Macaca mulatta: one gene and its partner. The protein of the gene in region 1 purifies or fractionates together with the protein of each later gene. This does not show direct contact. Links are inferred from orthologs where the notes say so. Each region holds a gene or a part of one and is shown in the gene's direction. Other genes may lie near its edges. The genes, in order: CCNK and CDK12.

The links.
Region 2: the proteins of CCNK (region 1) and CDK12 purify together in Homo sapiens (affinity purification with mass spectrometry; 6 studies listed by BioGRID and IntAct, with this or other methods). This does not show direct contact. The link is inferred for Macaca mulatta from reciprocal best matches to the Homo sapiens genes CCNK and CDK12.

The regions. Positions count from the first base shown.
Region 1 is NC_133412.1:172,803,821-172,808,109, forward strand, and holds the start of CCNK (cyclin-K), read left to right. Parts: upstream 1-1,257; 5' UTR 1,258-1,328; intron 1,329-4,289. UniProt on the Homo sapiens protein: Regulatory subunit of cyclin-dependent kinases that mediates activation of target kinases.
Region 2 is NC_133421.1:63,802,982-63,807,578, forward strand, and holds the start of CDK12 (cyclin-dependent kinase 12), read left to right. Parts: upstream 1-1,688; 5' UTR 1,689-1,749; coding exon 1,750-2,795; exon of another isoform or gene 2,796-3,875; intron 3,876-4,597. UniProt on the Homo sapiens protein: Cyclin-dependent kinase that phosphorylates the C-terminal domain (CTD) of the large subunit of RNA polymerase II (POLR2A), thereby acting as a key regulator of transcription elongation.

The DNA.
Region 1 (4,289 bases):
CACCCCGGTGGGCACCGAGAACTCGCAGAGAGGAACATAAAACCGCACGGCCTTCCCCGAGCAGCGGGGAGACGGGAGGAAGGAAGGAAATGAGAGCTCGACCCGGCCGCGCGCCGAGCCGAGCCGACCAGCCCGAGGGACCAGGGCCCCACCCGAGAGCAGGAGCGAGGGCCGGGGACAGGAGACCAAGCGCGGGGAGAGCGCTGCCTGCACCTGCCACCACCTCGAGACCGGGTGGCGCGAGGCCCGGGAGCGTGGGCGGCAGAGGGGACCGGGCAGCGGCGAGAGCGCGCCTCCCGCCCCGCAGGGCGCCCGGGCAGAGGCCGACCGGAGCCCTCCGACCCCGCCGGGCCCTCCCCGCCCAGGCACCCGAGCGCACACCTGCCCCCTTCAAGCCCTGGGCCCAGAGCGGCAAGCGGAGACCCTGGCGGGGGCGCGGGCCGGACTTCGGCCGAGGGGCGCTGGCCAGGGCGAGGGACGGCCTCGTAGAGCTCGGAGACGCAGCGCGAGTTTTCCCCGCAGCCCGCGGGCCGCGCGCGCGCAGAGACCGCCGCCAGCACTCACCTGCCCGCTTCCCTTAGCGCAGCGGGAACGACGCACTCCGGCCCGGACCCCGCCGTCCGCCTCAACCAACCCCCAGGCGGTGGCGGCGGTGGCGGCGGCGGCGGCGGCCGGACGGGAGGGGCGGGACGGCAGCCTGAGACGGCCCCGCTGCCGCGGCCCAACCCTGCTCCGCCCGCCCCGGACCCCGCCCCCGGGCCGCCGCCGCCGCTGCTCATTGGTCCACACCTCGGACGCATGGGCGCGGCCCCGCCCCGCCGCCCAGCCGGCGTTCCGTCCGGGGTCCTCCCCAGCCAGTGGGCTGGCGGCTCCCGGGGACGAGAGCGGCCGGCTCAGCGGCCGCCAACCCCGAAGTCGCAATTGGCTGCGTTCGCCCCCGCCAGAGCTCTGATTGGACGAATCTCGACCCGGGCCCCGCCTACGCGCCCAAGTTCCGTTAGCAGGTTCGGTTGCTCCAGAATGCCTTTTTGCTCCAAGGGGCGGGACCGACGGGATGGGCCCTGTGACTGGCTCCTCCCCCTGCACGCAGCAGCCACTGTCCCGCGGGGCGGGCGGGCGGGCGGGGAGGAGAGCGGCGGCTTGTTCCTCTTTTGAGAGCTCTGCTTTCTTCCCATTGGTTGACAGGCATCCTACTCTCTCCGCCCCTCCGGTCGCTTGGTTTTCGTCTCAAGACGCAGCGTGATGACGTAGTTCCCCGACATTCCACATGCAAGATGGCCGCAGTACGCAAGGAGAGACGTCGCTAAGGGGCTTGCCTGAAGCGAGAGGTGAGTGACCCACCGACTGCGGGCAGCACCGCCCACCTCCCGCGTATCTGGAGGTCAGAGTAGGTTATGGTCAACCGCCGCCATCCACTGGCGGAGTCTCTCTTTCCGGATTCTGCCTCCCTCCGCTAACCTCCGGTACACATTGAACTTAGCGGGCGGCGCGGGGCTGTGGGGCGGGCGTGTAGAGAGGGTCTGAGGCGCCGGGGCGGGGCAGGGAGGCCGGGCTCAGTCTAGAACTGGTAGCGGCCCTCGCACTGGGGAGCAGTCAGAGTTCGGGGACTTTCTAGGGGTTGGACAAAAGGGGCAGGGGTGTTAACCGCGCAGTCTCACAGCCACAGACTGCTCATATCTCCCCGATTATTTCGCGGCGTATTAGTCCCAACCTTGGCTAGGCCTGAGACTTTTTGGAGGTTGTTCCATGTCTAGGGTACTCCGACTTTGGAGTTTTGAAGAGCCACGTAACGAGGGTGCGACTAAGAATGAGGAAAAGGCACTTCCGCGGTTAGATTTAGTTGTTGCCGAGACATCGTCTTTACGGACGCGCTCCTGGTGGTTGCTTTGGTTTGTTATGAGAGAAATTGTTCTTTAGAAAATTGGAGCGTAAATCTAGAGGTTATCTGACAGCTCCTAAACTATTGTCTGCCCAAGATAGGCTCGGTAGTGCTCGCTAAATTTAGATTGCCAGTTAAACGGAGCTTTTGCTAAGTCATCTGAGGTTAGGAACTTCTAAGCATTTCTTAAGGGTGGTCTATGTTTTTAAGGGAAACTTGGTGATGTTTGTGTATCTCGATGTAAATCGCTGTTTACAGATATCTAGCACAATGCCTTGCAATTGTAGGTGCCCACTAAAAGTTTGTATGAATGATGTTGCTAGAATGAAAGCGAGGAGCTTTCAGCGCCTGGAACACTGCCTGACGTTTAATAAGCCCTCCGTATTGCTGAATGAAAGAATGGATAGATGGTGGTAATGGTAATAGTATTGATAGACATCTGGATTAAAGTTATGCCCTTAGGATGCTTACCTGTTAAATAATCTTGACTATGAATATAGTAATTATCCGAGATTGTTTTATTCAGAGCGACTACCACTGCTGTCTTTTAGGGTTTTTTCCCCCTCTTGTATCTCATTTCGATTATACTGTGATGCAGTATTCCAGCATATTAGTCGATTTCTAGGCAAATCCTGTTTAAATTTGTTCCATTTTGAAAATGTAGGTTGCACCAACAAGCAATAAAAACTATTCGAGTTGTTAATGAGGTTCTTAAATGTTAAATGCTGTTTCTAAAATTGAATGTCATAAAGAAAAATTGGTCATAGCCGTGGCCTATAAAATGGGCTAGTTCATTTTAGGACGTTATATTTGAAAGCAGTGACTCTGCTTAGTGTCTAAAAGGGAGGACAGTGTTTTCTGCTTGTTTTCTTTAAAACTGGATGAGGACAAAAAAATCTAGAGGAATTAAATTCAAGGTAATTGAGGAGATTACAGAGTGATCATATTTTTAAGCTCAGGTAAATTGTATACCAGAGTATTTGCAGATGACTTTATAAAATCATTATTCATAAATTTTGAAAAATCCTAAAAGTGCAGTTAATGATAGAAGACTAGAGTCTGGTAAATGTCTCAGTTTTCACACAGAACCATTCGATGGCCCTTGGCTGCTAGGAACCTATTAATAAACTTTTAGAATCTGGTTGGAAGAGCCAACAAGTTTATGAGTACTTGGGAAAGGAGAGCTGATTCCCTGAAGCCAACAGAGCTTCAATAAGAAAAGGCCAGGTGAGGCCAGAGGTGGTGGCTCACGCTTATAATACCAGTACTCTGGGAGGCCAAAGCTGGAGGATCACTGAAGCTCAGGAGTTCAAGACCATCCTGGGCAACATAGTGAGACCTCATCACTAAAAAAAAATAAAAAAATTAGCCAGATGTGGAGGTGCATGCCTGTGGTAGCTAGGGAGACTGAGGCAGGAGGATCATTTGAGTTAGAGATCAAGGCTGCAGTGAGTCGTGATCACGTGACTGCACTCCAGCCTGGGCGACAGAGCAAGACCCTGTTTCAAGAAAAAGCCAGGTGACACAAATCATTTCCTTTTGTTACTAGACTGGTGGTGATTGGGGATTGCTGGACGTAAGTTCGTTTAAGTTTATTTAGGACACAGTCTTCCAACAAGATTCTAATACTGTGTCTAGATACAAGAGTTAAATATGCATTGGATAAGGTGTGGTTAGATGGATTGATATCCATGCAAATTACCAACCCCAAAATGTTGATTAATGGGTTGATGTAAACCTGAAGAGTTGTCTTTGGAGATATGCTACAGGACTCTGGTGTTGCCCTTGCTCTGATTAACACTTTTTTTTTTTTTTTGAAACGGAGTCTTGCTCTGTCGCCCAGGCTGGAGTGCAGTGGCCTGATCTCAGCTCACTGCAAGCTCCGCCTCCCGGGTTCACGCCATTCTCCTGCCTCAGCCTCTCGAGTAGCTGGGACTACAGGCGCCTGCCACCTCGCCCGGCTAGGTTTTTTTTTTTTTTTTTTTGTAGTTTTAGTAGAGACGGGGTTTCACTGTGTTCACCAGGATGGTCTCGATCTCCTGACCTCGTGATCCACCCGTCTCGGCCTCCCAAAGTGCTGGGATTACAGGCTTGAGCCACCGCACCCGGCCTCTGATTAACACTTTTTTATTACCAACTTTAAATATATAAACAGCATGATTCTCAAGTTAATAAATGCACTCAAACCATGTAGTGATAATCAGCCACACATTAGATGACACTCAGAAATCAAAGAGTTCTTAAAGGCTGGAATATAATAATAGGCCAGAACCAACCAGATATAAATTTACTAGGTGAGATCGTCTCAAAAATTTTTTTTAAATAAATAAATTTAGTTGGTGTGATTACATTTACAAAAACTCAGTTTTCCTGGCTTGAGAAAAGTGGTTCTAGGATGTAATGTTCCACT
Region 2 (4,597 bases), on another chromosome or scaffold:
CAACTTCCCTGAGGCTGGGATTCCTTTTCTATAAAATGGGGATGAAAGTCTCGTGTTTTGCAGGATACTTGTGAAAATTAGAGATAATGTATGTAAAATGCTTGGCACGTAGCACACACCCTATATGTTGGAAGCACTGTTAAAACACTCAGGGACTTGGGTTGAAATGTCCCCACATTTGTCTTTTGCTCTGTAAAAAATAATCTCAGCCGGGTGCAGCGGCTCAAGCCTGTAATCCCAGCACTTTGGGAGGACCAGGTGGGCAGATTGTTTCAGTCTAGGAGTTCAAGACCAAGGATCGCTTGAGTCTAGGAGTTCGAGACTAGCCTGGGCAACATGGCGAAACCCCAGCACTACGAAAAATAGAAACAAATTAGCACGGCGTGGTGGCGCGACTCTATAGTTCCAAGTACTCGGCAGGCTGAGGTGGGAGGATTGCTTGAGCCCCGGAGATGGAGGCTGCAGTGAGCCAAGATCGCGCCACTGCACTCTAGTCTGGGCAACAGAGAGAGACCTTGTTTCAAACAAACAAACAAAACGCCCGGGCGCGGCGGTTCACGCCTGTAATCCTAGTACTTTGGAAGGCCGAGGCGGGAAGATCACTTGAGGTCAGGAGGTAGAGACCAGCCTGGCCAACATGGTGAAACCCTGTCTCTACTAAAAACACAAAAGTTAGCCGGGCATGGTGGCGGGCTCCTGTAATGCCGGCTACTCGGGAGGCTGAGGCAGGAGAATCGCTTGGACCTGGGAGGTAGAGGTTGCAGTGAGCCGAGATCGCGCCACTAACACTCCAGGCTGGGCGACAGAGCGAGACTCCGTCTCAAAAGAAAACAAAAAACAAAGTCATCCTGGTAGTTAAAAGATTTGTTAAAAAGGAAGTTAAAATTAGTTTGTCAGGGAGCCTGGGAGTGTTTGTTTAATCACTTATCGATAAAGTTTTGGTTAAAAAAAAAAAACTCGGTTTGTTCCGTTTCAATAAAGCTTTGTTCAAATGGGGAGAGAGAGTTCATCGCGAGAGTCAGGTGAAACGCGTTTCTAGTTTGGGACCTGATCTCGCGTTGTTTGATGAAGCAGCGGGATGAGGTGAAAGCAAAGCATGAAACATCGCGAGAGGCTACTGGACTTTCGCGACGATTTCTGGGATTGCCCCTCCCCCCTCCTCTAAGTGCCGTTTCGGTTTAATCTAGTGTGTGACTGAGTCTGTGTGAGGGAGAGTGTGTGTGTGGTGTGGAGGTGAAACGGAGGCAAGAAAAGGGGCTCCCTCAGGAACGAGGGACAAAGGGGGCGTGAGGCACCTAGGCCGCGGGATCCCGGCGACAGGAAGCCGCCCTGAGCCGGGCTACCGGGTAGGGGAAGGGCCCGCGTAGTCCTCGCAGGGCCCCAGAGCCGGAGTCGGCCCCACAGCCCCGGGCCGTCGGCTTCTCACTTCCTCGACCTCCCTGGCGCCCGGGCCTGAGGACTGGCTCGGCGCGGGGAGAAAAGGAAACAGACTTGAGCAGCTCCCCGTTGTCTCGCAACTCCACTGCCGAGGAACTCTCATTTCTTCCCTCGCTCCTTCACCCCCCACCTCATGTAGGAGGGTGCTGAGGCGTCGGGAGGGAGGAGGAGTCTGGGCTACGGTCCCTGCCCTCCCCACCCCCTTCCTGGGGCGCTTTGGTGGGCGTGGAGTTGGGGTTGGGGGGGAGGGTGGGGGTTGCTTTTTGGAGTGCTGGGGAACTTTTTTCCCTTCTTCAGGTCAGGGGAAAGGGAATGCCCAATTCAGAGAGACATGGGGGCAAGAAGGACGGGAGTGGAGGAGCTTCTGGAACTTTGCAGCCGTCATCGGGAGGCGGCAGCTCTAACAGCAGAGAGCGTCACCGCTTGGTGTCGAAGCACAAGCGGCATAAGTCCAAACACTCCAAAGACATGGGGTTGGTGACCCCCGAAGCAGCATCCCTGGGCACGGTTATCAAACCTTTGGTGGAGTATGATGATATCAGCTCTGATTCCGACACCTTCTCCGATGACATGGCCTTCAAACTAGACAGAAGGGAGAACGACGAACGTCGTGGATCAGATCGGAGCGACCGCCTGCACAAACATCGTCACCACCAGCACAGGCGTTCCCGGGACTTACTAAAAGCTAAACAGACCGAAAAAGAAAAAAGCCAGGAAGTCTCCAGCAAGTCGGGATCGATGAAGGACCGGATATCGGGAAGTTCAAAGCGTTCGAATGAGGAGACTGATGACTATGGGAAGGCGCAGGTAGCCAAAAGCAGCAGCAAGGAATCCAGGTCATCCAAGCTCCACAAGGAGAAGACCAGGAAAGAACGGGAGCTGAAGTCTGGGCACAAAGACCGGAGTAAAAGTCATCGAAAAAGGGAAACACCCAAAAGTTACAAAACAGTGGACAGCCCCAAACGGAGATCCAGGAGCCCCCACAGGAAGTGGTCTGACAGCTCCAAACAAGATGATAGCCCCTCGGGAGCTTCTTATGGCCAAGATTATGACCTTAGTCCCCCAAGATCTCATACCTCGAGCAATTATGACTCCTACAAGAAAAGTCCTGGAAGTACCTCGAGAAGGCAGTCGATCAGCCCCCCTTACAAAGAGCCTTCGGCCTACCAGTCAAGCACCCGGTCACCGAGCCCCTACAGTAGGCGACAGAGGTCTGTCAGTCCCTATAGCAGGAGACGGTCGTCCAGCTACGAAAGGAGCGGCTCTTACAGCGGGCGATCGCCCAGCCCCTATGGTCGAAGGCGGTCCAGCAGCCCTTTCCTGAGCAAGCGGTCCCTGAGTCGGAGTCCACTCCCCAGGTGAGCTATTTGTCTAACAGTCCTTCCTCATTTAGGGTGGGTTGCGAGGAATTGGCATTCAGCGTGTTAACATTGTGTGGAAGCCTGCAGTGTTCATCATTGATTAGAACACTTTGCTGTTGGCTAGTCGTTGCAGTGTGTGAATCTGTCTCCCCTTAACCCAGAACGAAAAGTGAAGAGTATATAGGCCTCAAACCCCTAAAGGTAGGTACTTCCAGTGGTGGGGTCTTCAGTTGTAAGCTTGTAAGTGAGAAATGTCAAAGGCTTCTGCTTAGTGAGTGGATGGAGTTGATACTAGTTCCCAGAGCATGTTTAGCTGTTTCTGTTGCTTAGTTTAAAATTTTTAAAAATCATATTGGTATTAGTGCTTTAGACTCTATGGGACCTGGTTGAAGACTTAAGAAATTACAAAGTTTCGTTTGTATTAAAGTTACTTGCCTAGGTTATCCTATTTGTGTTGTCCACTGAGTCCCCAAATCTGTACATTTATTCATTTCCTACTTGGCACTGTTTTAATAATTTACAAAAGATTCCTGTCTTTTAACTGATGTTTTAGTGGAAATTCAACTGATTAATCTGTTACCCTTTTGATGGTATAACCTAGCAGAAATTGGTTCCAAGGACAATTTGGTTTTCTTTACAGCATCATCACTGACCTACCTTGTGACCGCTGACAATTTTCAAAATCTTTCTCTAAAACACATGGTAATAATGCCTTCCTTATATTTTGACTCCTTTGTGGCCTCACCTCTGTTCACGAAAACAGAAGGTGGGCTTTAGTTAGAACTTTGTGGAATCCTAATGTTGCTTTTTGACCTTTAGCAAATTAGTTAATTTCTCTGTGCCTGAGTTGCTTCAGGTGTAAAATGGGGCTGGTCTTGAACTCCTGAGCTCAAGCAATCCTCCTGCCTCCAAAAGTGCTGGGATTACAGGCTTGAGCCACCACGCCTGCCTCATACATGGCTTTTGTATTTCAGTGTAATTTTTGCTGACTTAAAGTTACAATTATTCATAAATGATGTGAGTACATCAAGCTGCAGAGTGTTCCTAGCTGTCAGGGGCTGGAATTCTTAATGTTTCCTCCTCCATTTTATTTTTTTATTTTTATTTTTTTTATTTTTATTTTTATTTTTATTTTATTTTATTTATTTTTTTTTTTTTTGAGACGGAGTCTCGCTCTGTCGCCCAGGCTGGAGTGCAGTGGCGCAATCTCGGCTCACTGCAAGCTCCGCCTCCCGGGTTCACGCCATTCTCCTGCCTCAGCCTCCCGAGTAGCTGGGACTACAGGCGCCCGCCCCTGCCCCCGGCTAATTTTTTCTATTTTTAGTAGAGACGGGGTTTCACCGTGGTCTCGATCTCCTGACCTTGTGATCCGCCCACCTCGGCCTCCCAAAGTGCTGGGATTACAGGCGTGAGCCACCACGCCCGGCCTATTTTTATTTTTTTTTTAAACTTTTTTTTTTTTGAGACGGAGTCTCGCTCTGTCACCCAGGCTGGAGTGCAGTGGCCGGATCTCAGCTCACTGCAAGCTCCGCCTCCCGGGTTCACGCCATTCTCCGGCCTCAGCCTCCCAAGTAGCTGGGACTACAGGCGCCCGCCACCTCGCCCGGCTAGTTTTTTTTTTGTATTTCTTAATAGAGACGGGGTTTCACCGTGTTAGCCAGGATGGTCTCGATCTCCTGACCTCGTGATCCGCCCGTCTCGGCCTCCCAAAGTGCTGGGATTACAGGCTTGAGCCACCGCGCCCGGCCCCTCCTCCATTTTATTATAAAAAAATTTTAAGCACAGAAAGGTTGAAAGAA